Linked DNA regions of Drosophila melanogaster. The protein of the gene in region 2 interacts with the protein of the main gene of each other region in a pairwise test. Each region holds a gene or a part of one and is shown on either strand. Other genes may lie near its edges.

Region 1 (6,571 bases), on a different chromosome or scaffold from region 2:
TCCCTAAACTCCACATTTCCAAAGGTATAGTAGGCCAAAGGTCTGCCCAACTGGGCGCAGACCATAAGTTGCAGCAGGGCTTTCAGATAGGAGTCACCGCCGAATGCGCCGCAACCCCAGTTACCAGTTGCCACACCCGGTGGCGGCGTCACCATCCAGTGAACAAATCCAATGTACGCCTTGTTCAGCTCCCTTTCCATGAGATCCTCGCGATATTGATGATGTGACTGGGCAAAATGTAGGGCATCGATTGCCACAATGGCCGTTTGTCGACGACCTGAGCTATCTCTTGGCGTTGAATCCTCAAAGTTGCCGGACCACTCGAAGCTTCCGGCATATCCCGTATAGTTACTATACCTTTCGGCGCCCAACATCACCAGGGCCTCGAATGGTCGCAGACACTCCGTAAAGAGTTTACCCACCAATAGCTCCGGACAGATAACAAAGCGTATCTCCTCCTGAACGCAGCCATGTCCCAAGACACCGCCACCCAAATATTTGTTGGCAAAGTCTACTTGCAGCAGTCCAATGCCCTCATCCTCGATTGTTCCCTCGGCATCCACGTGCAATGGCACATCACCCAACGGCGCCGCACTTTGGCTCCAGTCGATCAGATGTTCCGGCAATCCGCTCCGACGAACAAAGGTTACCACACCGGTGGGCACATTGCTGGCATCCCGCTCTGTGGGACACACGCGACGAAAATAGTGCATAATGCATTTAAGCTTCTCCAGAACTGCCGGTCCCGTCGATTGGTAAAGCCTTTTGATGGAATCGAATATATTTAACATACTTCGACTGAAGATATACGAATCTGGTGGACGCTCACCTGTTAAAGTTGATGTCTGGAAAAGTGCTGTACTCGGACTTCCTCTTGAGGGTGTTTCTCCGGGGAAAGGTGCACAGGAAGGCATTGGCCAACAGGCAGGAGATCTGCTGTTGGCTCAGGCTCAATGAGGCGTTCTTGTGGTGCTTGAGCAGCGGAACTGGCGATTGAATCAAGTCCGGTAGCCGCAATGCCAATCGGATAATGCGCGGCAATAGATCCTCGAAGAAAACCCGTGTTTCGCTCTCGTCCAGTTCCTCGTCGAGAAGTTGATGAAGGGCACGAAAGTGCCACTGATCCCTATAGGTGGTATTATATGATATTATCGCCGCCTGCAGTTCCTCACACGTCTTTATGGGCTGCAGAAGGGCTCGTTCGATCATTTCCCAGCGAAAATCGATGGTGGTGCTGCCATCCGGATTCTCCCTCGGATATTTCGACTCGGGCGCACAGGGCAGACGCACATGCTCGGAGTCCCACTTTCCCGGTGATTTGTAGGGGCGTGGCGGTGTTTCACGAATTGGCAGCTGGTACATAACCCGGTGGAGATTGCCGGCAGTCACTGGTGGCAAATTCTCCAATTCGAAAGGCTGCCGATTACGATGTATAGCCTCCATGGAAACTCCACGCCACGAATCATCTAGGGAGTTCGCCAGATTTTCCGGCTCCTCCTCCGTTTCTATTTCGGAAATCCCGCCATCCGGCGACTTCGACATCCTGGCGCAGTTTAAGCACAAAGCCTTGCCGAGTCGATTGGTCAGCACGGATGCACTTGCTCTGCGGCGATTTGCCGTAGATTGGTAAACCTTTTGGAATATCGGAAAAATCAAGTGTGACCTGAATTCTTGCATACCGGTGTTTTGGGGATGAGCGATAGCTGTGATGAATATCGCACTTTATAAATACCACACACTTCGATTGAAGCGTAGTGAATTGAAGCGTTTATATATCGAAATATATTCAAATATATGTTGGTATTCGTTTGAGAATGAATCAATAACAAATTCAAAATTGCATTGCCTTGAATTCGGCGGGCGAAAGTGTGACCATTACATGTGGTATTTTACCTCTCATTGTCGCTAGTATTTAAATACCAGCACGAGAAATACCAACACTGTGTCCGTTGCAATGCGAATTGCAAATATAACCGCCGAAGGAACAACAACAAACAAAAAGAAAAAAAAAACAAATCTTCCAGCAATTTGTCAACTATTTTCTCTAATTTTTTTTTAAAGTGTAAAACTATCATAACGAGCGCCAAGTTTTACGTTAAGTGAAAGGATTTTTTCCTGTCCTTCGTGCGGTAAAAATAATAGTGCATATTACCAAGGAAAATCAAGTTAAAGGCGTCTGCGAAACTTTTATAAATGTATTTAATACTCAAAAAGGTAAGAAGCGGCGGAAAGTAATTGCTGTTTTATGTTTTTATAATCACGTTTGGCAAGAAAATGTTATTTCGTTGACGTCAGTGGTCAAATCAAATTTTTTCAGTTTTTAACCCTTAATGTGGCACTGTCACTCGCACCTATGTATATATTTATGTGATTGTGGTATTTTGCTCAAGCTTACGTGTTGAAAAGAGGAAGAGAAACCGCTGCATACACGTGCAAAGACTCTGAGAATGGACACAAGAGAGCGAGAGAGGGAGAGAGAGAGAGCGCAGTTGTTTGTTTTGAAAGCGTCGCAAAAACAATACAAAAAAGGTCATACATAATTTGCACACACACTTGCATCTGAGGAAAACGCAAAAGCAAATTCACAGCTAGCTAAAAACCAAAATAAATATAATTTATGAAATGTACTTTTGCTAAAGTTCAACACACCTTTATCTCTCCGCGAAATTTGTTTGCACCATCTCTTTCTCTCCTTTTTGCGTAAACAAACGAAAAAGCTTTGCAAGGAGAAGCAAAAAAAAAAAACACAAAAACAAAAATCGAATTATCAGTAGAATTCTACAAAGAAGAGGCGTTTCTCTTCATCGCTCTTCGTACCTGAGCGTAGCCTTCAAATTTGCTTAGATTTCGCCTTGACCATAACCTAGAAATACTCGAAAAAAGTACTGTCAACTCTCAATAAGTTAAACGATCGATTTTCACATAAAGAGATAGAGAGAGAAAGAGACCAGATATTAAGTGAAATTTATTTTACTAAATAAATTTTCAGAAAAAGGTGTAAATCCCGAGCATTTAGATTTCGTTGATGAACTTTAACGCAATGGGAGTCTGCACTGTACATGTAGAGCTTTCTCTTTTCTCATTTGCGTCAGCGAAAATACTAGGAATAATCGGGGGTGGCGTTTCGGGGGTTGGCAAAAAAAACAAGCAACAACAAAAATGCATAGAGCCGAATAATCGCTTGGAAAAAGCGAGCGACGAAAACGCGATGTTAGTAAACTTTTCAAGGTCACCTCAAAAGCATGAACTTATACTAATCAACAGCTGAAAGAAGCAGAAGACTGCACTTCCATGAGTCAGTTTCAGAAATTAAACAAAACGAGGGAACCAAACCAATTTGAAAATTCAATTTACATATTTGTGGAAATTTCTGTTCTTTATTAATTAATATACAGATTTTAAAGAAATAATTCATTTTTGTATCCGAATTCTGATGCACTTCACACATAATTAAAGCAATGTTACCATAAATTATATGGTAGGCAGATTGTATTGTATGAAGAATAAAGTATGGAATAAGCATAAAATATAATAATATATGTATGTATAGAATAACATCAATGAGTTCTTTTTACGAGTGATCACTGTACACATATTTATGTGCGAAAGTCGAATTATATCATGTGATCCCGAATTGTTTGAAATGTTTGGGCTTAAAAGATCGAATAAAAACATCTGCAAATGGATCTAGAAGTTATTTATTTTGTTAAACGCCTTAATCTATAAGTATATTTATTCGCATTGACTTGCTTTTGATTGGGGGAGGCTTCAGTTGTATGCAATAAAAAACAAAACTGAAATGATAAATACAATTGCGTTTGCTTGTTTGTGTTTCGACTTTTTTCTTGGGTTTTGTCAACGCGACTTGGCTCACGTTGGCAAAACAAAGTGCAAAATGATGAACGAGAGGAGGAAGATAGAGTGGAGAAAACCTTGCAGTTACAGGCTGCACTGGCTATGTGCAACTATATATGAATGTATATATGTATCTATCCTCCACTGCATCCAAGCACTCCTAGCTAACTTATAAAGCCAGAAATAATTGTCAAAAAATCCTACAACTGTTTTTAAGTTTTTATTGCAATTGTGCAATGCAGTGCTGTTCACACAAGTGCAAGCATGCAGAGAGAGAGAGAGAAACGTAAATAGTTGACTAGAAAGAGAGGGCTGGCCACACGTGTTGCTAAGGAGGGTCGCTCAACTTTATCGCCCAGCCACCGGGATCCCTTCGCGTACCCAGCAAACCCACAATTTATTTCTTTTTTTTTTGCCAGTAAATATTCGCACACTCTCAAACAAACAAAATAAGAACAACAACAGAGTGCAAAAAAATAAAATTCGCATGCGCTGATGACCTTGAGAGTTCTGCGAGTATAAGACGGAAAAAGCGAAACTGAGACGCCTGCAATGCGAAATGGGGAAGAAAAAATATACAACAAATATCACAAAGAAGAGCAAATTTTCTTTTCAACAAAAAAACAAATAGAGTTTGCGAATTCGCTTGTTAATGGGAAGAATTCTTAAACGAATAAGACGCCTTTGATTTTTGGTATCTGAAATTATGTATTAATAGCAAGTATGTATACATATTATGTTCAACATTAAATGCAGATTATCTATTTATGTTTTGCATCATCAGCACTCATAAATAATTTATCTATTTACCGCTATTATTAATGCAAAAGGCCCCTATATGTATATGCACATATACATACATATGTAAGTATGTAGATATTCATATTTTTTAACTTTTGGCAATGTTCACGCCCCCATTTAAACAAAAAGTGAAATCGTTTTTACGTAGTATTTTGCTGGTTTTCAAAATAAGAAACCAAACAAGCAAACGAAACAAAAATTCACAACAAATAAAAATAGTGCATATGTATGTATGTATGTACAAAAATATGCAAAAAGCAGCACAACAACAATATAATAATAAATAAAAACAAAAGGTGATGGCCAGTCAAGAAGGCCTTAACCCCAATAAATGTGTAAAAACAATGAAAAAGCAACAAGCAATAGCAACAAAATACATAACATTGCTAATTTATTGCGGTTTGTGGGTGGTGAAAGTACAAAAATAAAAAAGGGCTTAAGCTACCTAACAGATGGAGTCTTTCACATTAATCCAAATATGAAAATTACAGACAAGAACATTCAATTTAATCATACAAACTAACTTGCAATTAAAGATAACACAACGGAATGCCGACAGATGGCGCCACCTGATGATATCAGATAGAAAATGCACAACCCATACTGAATGGGATATTAATCTATGTATGTATGTATGTAGCTAATTACATAACCTTAAGATACAAATGCAAGATTATTTACAAAATAATTAAATAAATACATTAAGGAACCAAAACGAGTTCAGTTACGATCATTATATAACGAACTGGAAAACCGAAAAACCTTGAGACACAAAAAAAACGACAAAAATAAATAAACCACAAACAACTAAAGCAAAAAGTCGAATTTTTTCAAGCTAACAATTGCAATTATTTCAACATTAAAAGTTATTTGGCGGCTGCAAAAATTAATTCGATTTTAATTTGGCGCGCATAGGTCTGTGTTGCTATCACCCTTACGATAACTGTCTTTGTTCATATGTATGTATATGTATGTATGTATAGAGAAGATATAGATGTAGGTTTGTCGATCCGATCAGTAAGTAAATAAGTTTTGAACTAGGTTTGGGTAGTTGATTTAATTAGTCACCTTAAACAGTTCAAACAGTATGAAAGCCTAGTATATACATTTATATTACATTAATGGTTTCCGTCTTAATCCCTTCAGTTAACATTGCAATTTATTGCTTTATTACGCCGCTGACGTCAGCGACGCCGGCAGCGCTGCAAGCAGAGGCGTTGTAACAGGGTCTCATTTTATGGGGCGGTTTTGTACAGGGTGGAGCGGGGGGGGGGGGGTGGTATTAGTCACTAGTGACAGCCACAGACTAAAGGGCACTTGTTGTTTGTTCGTAGAGAGAAAAGTGGTATTCGTGGGGCTAAGATTGGAGAGCCGAATGGCCCGCTGACTATAACAAAAGTTAGGTAAAGCGAAATGCTGATAAGCTGAATAGTGAGTAATGATCACACAATTTCAAATAACGAAGTGCAGGTGTCTGTATAAATTAGTAAAAAAAAAAAAAACTTATTGTGTGTATTTGAATGGAAGACAAGCGTTGAACTAAATGATTTTCAATTCAGTTTAATAGCTTATGGAAGAAAGTACAATTTATAAAAAAAAAAAATCACAAAGCGGTTTGCTGCAATTGTGTAATCAATATTTTTTATCAGGTTTCCTTATGCTGTTGCATGACTAAAATGCAACTACGATGTATCACTAATATAATTTGAAAATAATTGAATTTTCTAGAATTGAAAATAAAGCTGTAAAAAATGGAAACTCATAACTGAAGAATTGCTTTCATGCTTTCTTCAAAGGAAATTCTAAGTATACAATTTTCCCACACGCTTGTTAAATATTAATCAACAAAAACCAACAGCAAACTGCCGAAAATTATAAATAATTATTTTTGTCACATTTTCAATGTCAACGTTGT
Region 2 (8,016 bases):
AAAGTATGCTACTTTTTCATGACCACGCTGCACTCAACCTCTCAATTCTTTTAATTCAATTGATAAGAACCAGGGGAGCTCCCCTCCCTCCCTCTCTCCTAACGCATTCAATTCAGTTTGCGACTGCGATAAGCTGCCCACAAAAGCCGATTTGTCCCGCTGGTTCAGCATTCAGAATCCGCCGTCAGTTGATAATTGACTTGCGACTCGGCCAGTCAGTCGTTCCATCGATCCGGACACCTACCAAGTGAGTACCTTCTAGTGGAGATGCTATCAGTGGATCCGCTCTGCTGGGGATCTGAAAACAAAACTTTCCAGCCAGCAACCAGAGAACAGACGGAGCTGTTATCGCTCGATAAGAGCGGTATCAGCTCTTAATCAGTAATCCATAAATCTCCTCCCGTTCTCCTCCGCCAGAACAACAATTCTTCGTAGAAATAACCCTGGATCTTAACATGTCCCCATAATAAATAGTATTTAATTCAATCACAAGCTTCTATGAACTATTTAATAAATCTTTATTTAAATAATTTGGTCTGTAGATAAACTATAATCTTTGATATTAAGATACTGAAAATGTGGATCACTGATAACAAATTTATAATATATGTAAATATATGTTTTTAATTATGCAGCATGTTGGCACAATTGAGAAATATTTCGAAGCTGGCGCTGCCGCGCCGCCTCGTTACCCAAACCGCCAGCTACTCATCGTCCTCGTCATATCTCATTGACCAGCCGGAGTACAGTTTCCTGAAAGAATTGGGACTGGAGCGCGACAATCCAGGTGTTTATTCGGGTCAGTGGCAGGGTCGTGGGCCATCCGTTACCAGCTACGATCCCGGAACTGGTCAACCGATTGCCAAAGTGCGTCAGGGAAATGTCCAGGAGCTCGAGCATACCATCGGGCTGGCGGTGGAAGCCTACAAGCAGTGGCGACAGGTTCCAGCTCCCGTTCGCGGCGAAATAGTGCGCCAAATCGGCGATGAGCTGAGAAAGTACAAGGAACCACTGGGAAAGCTCGTCTCCCTGGAGGTGGGCAAAATCTACAGCGAGGGACAGGGCGAGGTTCAGGAGTTCATAGATATCTGCGACTATGCGGTTGGCCTCTCAAGGATTTACTCCGGCCAGCTGATCAACTCGGAGCGTGCGGATCATTCGATTCTGGAGGCCTGGCGTCCGCTGGGAGTGGTGGGCGTTATTTCGGCCTACAATTTTCCCAATGCTGTGTTCGGCTGGAATGCTGCCATCGCCCTAACCACCGGCAACAGTGTGCTGTGGAAAGGAGCTCCCAGCACTCCCTTGGTCTCGGTGGCGACCACAAAAATTGTGGCTGAAGTGCTGCGTAGGAACAATCTGCCGCCGGTGGTGACCCTCTGCCAAGGAGGAACCGATGTTGGTCAGACCTTGGTGGCTGATAAGAGAGTTAACCTCGTTTCCTTCACCGGCAGCTGCCAAACTGGTCGGGATGTGGGTGTTGAAGTGCAGCGCAGATTCGGCAAGGTGATCCTCGAGCTAGGCGGCAATAATGCCCTAATCATCGATGAATCTGCCAACGTGAAGATGGCCCTGGACGCCGCACTTTTCGGCTGCATTGGCACCAGTGGTCAAAGATGCACCACCACCAGGAGGATTATTGTCCACGAAAAGCTGCACGATCAGTTCGTAAAGGAGCTGGTTGGTAAATATAAGCAGCTAATTTCCAAGATTGGACACCAGCTCGAAGCTCAAACTCTGGTGGGTCCCGTGCACACGCAACAAAACGTGGAGAACTACAAGGCGGCCATCGCGGAAGCGAAATCCTTAGGAGGAACGGTGGCCTTCGGAGGTAATGTCATCCAGCGGGATGGTTTTTACGTAGAGCCCACAGTGATCACTGGATTGCCGCACGATGCCAGCGTTGTCCATCGCGAAACCTTTGCACCAATTGTGTACATCCTCAAAGCCAAAAACGTGGACCAGGCCATCGAATGGAACAATGAGGTGGAACAGGGCTTATCCTCTGCCATTTTCACGGAGAACATCGGGCAGGCGTTCAAGTGGATTGGAGCCAAGGGTTCCGATTGCGGTATAGTTAACATCAACACCACCACCAACGGCGCCGAGATTGGTGGAGCTTTCGGAGGCGAAAAAGCCACTGGAGGAGGTCGCGAGTCCGGATCCGATGCCTGGAAGCAGTATTGCAAGCGGGCCACCATTACAGTCAATCACTCCGGAGAATTGGCCTGCGCCCAGGGTGTTGTCTTCAATGTGGAGTAGAAAACACATACGATCAATTTTAATGTGCTACAATTTACAATACTATTACATATAATGTCCAAAACTAAATGCAACTGATATAATTCTTCCTATTCCGTGCCGATTTCAAAGCGCCAGAAGTCCACCTCAATATCCTTCGACTTCTGCTTGTGAAACTTGTAGCTGGCGTCGATGTTGTACCGGAGTTCGGCGACCACTGAGCCGCGGGCGCCCCATTCCAGTGCCTTTTTCTGAATGTACGACCTGCGAACAATTAAAATCGATATTTAAATTGGCTTTGATGTACTATTCCACAGTTGTTTAGGCTTGGCTATTCTTCCATAAAAAACAGGAAGGGGTCGAATAATAAGATACCCTTTTAATTAAAGAACTCATCGTTTTAATATGAGTAGCATATATATTTTAAAATATTTAATTTCCATAATTTCTCACTAAAATCTAAACTATTGATGGAACGTGCTGCATCTTATCCACATACTTTATGTGTAAAGCAGCTGCAGGCAGTTGGGACCGCTGCGGCAGCAACCACCCCCGCAGACAGGAACCACTGCATCTCTGGGAATGCGGCGGCAAAGGCTGGGCGGACCGCGGTAGTCTCTTCGGAAGCACAGTCTCTCGCACACTGTCCCGCCAGCGGACACTCGAATGGGGGTGAGACGGCATTGGCCGCTGCCCAGGATTTGCGCATCAGTGGGCATGGGGGCCAGAAGAATCGCCAGCACCACAGTGATGATTAGAAGGCTACGTGAGAGGATCATCTTGCTGCTGACTTCTAGTTGCTATCTGTAACTTGTTGGTGTTTCTGCGGCGTTTTATAGTTGTGAGCAGCGCTCTTAACAAAACAACAACAAAAGCAGAAACAGCGGTAAGGAAGCACATTTACCGAAAAGCGGGTACAATTGTATCTCTTGTTTACTGTGCCAATAACAAAAGATTGCGCATCTGTTTATACCAGCAGATATTCTTAAAGTATAAATCTGCATATGTACATTCATATGCCGAATATTGAGTATCAATATATTTTAAAATATATACCTATATATAGACCAGTAAGCATACTACTTGAGTATCTGTTTAACCAAGAGATCTACACTATTAAACAAGAGAGAATGGTATAACCAAGATTTCGAATATCAGATACGCCGCTCATCTAGAGGGATTGCTAGAGAGGAATTCCAAATTTTGTTTAGATATGGATAGAAATTGTAAAGGAAATAAGATAAGTTATATCAAAAGATTTTTTCAAAACGTTGGTTATACACGGCTGGTAATCCTAATTAAAAATATACTTTGTAAAGCGGAAATCGCTTCCCTCTACCTGTTACATTCTTTGCAAGAAAACTTAAGTTTTCCTCTACGAATATCGATTATAATCAATTTTATACAGACTTACCGTGTTGACGTCTTGTGTAGGGAGTAAACTGCTCTGTTGGCCAACCGTAGGGCCACCTCCAGAAACCGCATGTCCATGCCGGCATTGTGTTTCGTGCCGAATGGGGGATTCATCAGCACCGTGTCAAAGGACTTCTCCCACTTGCTGCCGATCAGCTGCAGCACATCCGCCCGCACGCAGTCAACATTGGGTAGCTCCATCTCCACCACATTGCCCCTAAAGGTGTCCACGGCATCGCCGTCCAGTTCGAAGCCCACCGTGAGCTGGGCGCCCAGCAGAGTGGAAGCAATGCTGAGCATTCCGCAGCCGCAGCCCAAATCTCCCACCAGCTTTCCCTCGATGTCCTCGTGCTGCGACTGCATGTGATGAGCCATGCACGCGGCTATGTGCGGCGGAGTGGGGTACTGTTCCAACAGGATCTTGGGCTGCTCGAAACCGTCAACGCCCTGCAGGTACTCCTCCAGTTTCCTCAGCTTCAACCGGGCCATTGTGGATCCGGCTATTTGCTGATACTGTGGCTGGGCGGAGCGTTCGGAGTAGTGGGCGTGGTCGCAGGCGACGGCAGCGGCTCCAGACGAGGCAGCACGGGTATAAAGCTATTTCCAAAATACGAATCCTGAGGTATAAAGAAGCCCAAAGTCGTAGAGCTCGTTGGATTAAATGCAGAGCGGGCGGTGGATGTGGCATTGGTGGCAATGCCCACGCCCGCCTGGAAGTCTGGATTCACTGTCGTCGGCTGTCCCAGCAACTGGGGTGCGGGCATCTACGATAGAAGACCAGGTAAACACATTTTCCGATCGGCATGTTCCCAACGAACTCACCTGGTTCGGCGGACTCAGACCAAGGTTTATGATCCCGCCCGCGAGCAACTGCTTCTTCGTCTGGATCTCTTCGAGTATCTTGCGGTTCGTCTCGGCTTGCTGGGCACTTGTGGTGGGAAAAGCCATCAAATAAACTAGTAAAAGTCTGAACTATATCAAAAACTTCTTGTAGACTGCTGCTCCTGCCGCTGCCTTTGGCATTTTGCGAGCAGTGTGGTCACACTGGCGAGTACTGTAGTGTGGCGGAAATAGTAGCGGTATTCGAACTGAACCAAATGTGCGAATAAACAAAAAATCTGCAACAAACAAGAGTGTTAAGCGAATATTGAATTTGTGCTTAATATATATATAATTTGTATTTAATACAAATCAAATATTAATAATATTGGTGACCTTTTGGTGCCACTTAAGTTTGAAGTATTATTAGCATTCCTCTATTTGGTCACTCTGCAAGTCTTACAACGTGAGCAGACAACAACAAAATTACATGTTTATTTGGAATAATCACAAAAAACAAAAAACTTACCAACTTAGTGGAATAATCTTAGGAAATATCTATTAATTTGCGCGCAATCCGTGCAAAACAAGTGAAGCAACATGAGTATGAGCGACGACGACCGCGACATAGACATCGAAAGTGACGTAAGCAAGGCGTAGAGGAAAATACTGATACGTGTGTTTAATATTGATTTTAATGCCAAATTAACGACTTTTTAGGAGGACGGGGACTCGGACACTGGCTTGGGATCCTCGCGACACACAAACACCGCCAATTTCACCCAGGTGACTATCCATCATGCATAAACTGAGTGGGAAAAAGCGACTGCGCACATTGCCTTTTGTTGATAAACAGAACGCACACGTGTTGTTGTTGCTGTTACAGAATCGTGATTACGATACAGCAGAGTTCACAGCAATAGGATTCGTAATCGAAAATAATCTTAGAGGGACTGAATATATTATATATTACTATTTACTAACTTATCTTTCTGTTCATATTGCTTTGAGACCATTTTGTTCCATTTTTGTTATTATTTCCATACTCTGCTGTATTTACGATGGAATTTCCTATATGCTAATTTTAATGTTTGTTTCAAGGCCGAAAAGCGGGCGCACCACAACGCTTTGGAGCGAAGGCGGCGCGATCACATCAAGGAGAGCTTCACCAACCTGCGTGAGGCGGTGCCCACACTCAAGGGCGAAAAGGTAATCCAGAAGAGCAACAGGTGACACAGCCGGGCTCATTTTCTGCCAAGAAAATCCCATAAGTCCATACCAGTTCGTTTTACAATAAACTACATTATTGCTTGTCAAATTAAGCAAATCGCATAAAATATATTAAAAAAATCCACACCCTGTGTGATGAAGCTAATAAGAAGTAGTAATAAGTTAATAATACATATCTTTTGTTACAGGCGAGTCGAGCTCAAATCCTGAAAAAGACCACCGAATGCATACAGACGATGAGGCGGAAGATCAGTGAAAACCAGAAAGACATCGAAGAGATCAAGAGGCAAAACAACATAATAGCTAAGCAGAGTGAGCAACTAACTACTACAGGTTATTAATGAACTTCCTGCTAAGATACTTTATATACTTTCCAGTACAAGCACTGGAGAGTTCAAATGGGGATCAGTTCAGCGAATTTCTCAGCGACGAGGAAGTGGGCAGCGAGGAGGCCGACGACGAAGACCTCGACCAGGACTTCAGTAGACGCAATAAAAAGATGAAGACCTTCCACGCATAGCCGCTGATCCAATCCAAAGTGCTGCTTACAGGCGTGTTCCGGCTTCCGTTTTCACCGACATTCTGAATTCTTACGTGGATTTAGTTCAACTTTGAGTTGTGTTATACGAAAGCAATAGCCCTCGAAAAGTTGTGAAGGAAACGGTTCCAAATTCGAATTAAAGTGAAAATTAAAATTATGTGGAAATGAGAACAGTAACAAGTCCGATAATCATAATCATCATTAGCTGTAAGCCCAAAATGTAACCCACCCAATCGACCTTAATTTGTATGCGTGCGTCTTTTCTACTTTCAACAAATTGTCACTCTGTGCGCAAAGAATAAAGTAAACTAGTAAGTACATATTTTTAGAAAAAAACAGGGGCTTCTTGTTGATGAATTCTATTATGGAAATTGGAAAATATAACGGACCAATTGAGTAACATGAGTGCTGCTTTTGAAGAAGTTTATAAATGATAAAAGGATTGACATTTTATGCGATTAGGGCTAAATAAAATCAGCAATTTTTGCAAGTAATTTGATCACTTGATACTGGAACCTTCCCTTATTTATATCTGGAATCTCCTTTTGCTTATTACTCGAGAACTATAAAGAACGAGCTGAAAAAACTTTAACGTACGTATCTGTCTTTCTAATATTGGTTTGAACTTAAGAAATATATTTAACTTTATGGTTTTAAGCCAAAAGTGAACCGCATTCCGAACCAAATACAACCTTCGACTACACTAAACCATACAAATATGTGGGTATATATTTTATAAAATTACCAACAACTACTTAAACTTTAGGGTTATCCAGAGGATTAAGAACACGACGAGGATGAAGAGGAACATGTAGCACATTTGGCGAGCACCACCGCCCTGTTTGGCCAGTCGCACCACCCGCGTCATCGCGTTGCCCAGAAATCCACTCGTCCGGTCCATGTCGTCGTCGATGCCGCGCAGCAGCTTGTCCTGGTAGCGCACCTCATTGCCTATATCGATGGTGAGGGACTTCAGGGCCCCGATCTTCTGCTTCAACTCCTCCGCCGCCTGCTCGTTTTCCGCCTCCAAGGCGTCGTGGCTCGCAGGATGGGGCCCTGAAGGGTGCTGGTTTAGGGGCTGGTACGGGTAGTTGTTGCGGCGCATACTGCTCCCCGAGTGTGCCAGTTTGGCATCCGGATTGCTGCGGATCGGGTGAATTTAACGAAATTAATTAATTATAAATTAATACAATGCTCACAAATCTCAGTTTTCGAAGTGACACGTAAACGTAAACATGTAATCTCACCCAGCGGCAGAACAGCTGTTGGGATATACGCTTCTTGGCTCAACCTTTGTGGTTGACTGTGCATTGACCCTTGACCTCGTGTTGTGATTTCCAGAATCGGTTGACTAATGCCTCTACTTATTAAACGAAACTTTTTAAATTCTCATGCAATTCAATTTTTAGTCGCCGAGCAGTGTGACCAAAGCGGAGTAGCAAAATTATTCCGTAGCAATGCGTGTGGCAGAGATTACGATTTTCAATTAACCCATTGCTTGCCAATACGCTTTTAATATCGTAAGTTCTTTCTATAAGTTTCCAAAACTTACTATATATATATATATATATTGTTTTAAGATTTCATAAAAATTTGATTAGGGAAATCGGGACAGACAACGAGACAGTCGGCGGTCGGCAAAAATTCACCTCCAAATAACTAAAAAATAAATAAATAAAAATCGTCCCCATGTTCAAAATTCCACAGTTTCACCATCGCCGCTAAAAAAAAATTTGTATTATATTTAGGTGTTCATTAAAATATGGTACGTACAG

Evidence for each region.
Region 1: the proteins of Max (region 2) and Mnt interact in a two-hybrid assay, tested with the Drosophila melanogaster proteins (2 studies listed by BioGRID).

The regions. Positions count from the first base shown.
Region 1 is NC_004354.4:3,669,826-3,676,396, forward strand, and holds the start of Mnt (Mnt), read left to right. Parts: upstream 1-1,975; 5' UTR 1,976-2,214; intron 2,215-6,571. Other genes in the region: Parg (Poly(ADP-ribose) glycohydrolase), read right to left, coding at 1-762, 830-1,542.
Region 2 is NT_037436.4:19,261,080-19,269,095, reverse strand, and holds Max (Max), read left to right. Parts: upstream 1-4,911; 5' UTR 4,912-5,070; coding exon 5,071-5,115; exon of another isoform or gene 5,116-5,190; coding exon 5,191-5,256; exon of another isoform or gene 5,257-5,330; intron 5,331-5,571; coding exon 5,572-5,679; intron 5,680-5,888; coding exon 5,889-6,012; intron 6,013-6,077; coding exon 6,078-6,220; 3' UTR 6,221-6,864; downstream 6,865-8,016. Other genes in the region: Aldh7A1 (aldehyde dehydrogenase 7 family member A1), read left to right, coding at 637-2,259; CG45081 (uncharacterized protein), read right to left, coding at 2,739-3,017; Mettl5 (methyltransferase like 5), read right to left, coding at 2,349-2,502, 3,653-4,140; CG42374 (uncharacterized protein), read right to left, coding at 4,152-4,415, 4,474-4,599; Bet1 (blocked early in transport 1), read right to left, coding at 6,993-7,346. UniProt on the Drosophila melanogaster protein: Transcription regulator. Forms a sequence-specific DNA-binding protein complex with MYC or MAD which recognizes the core sequence 5'-CAC[GA]TG-3'. The MYC-MAX complex is a transcriptional activator, whereas the MAD-MAX complex is a repressor.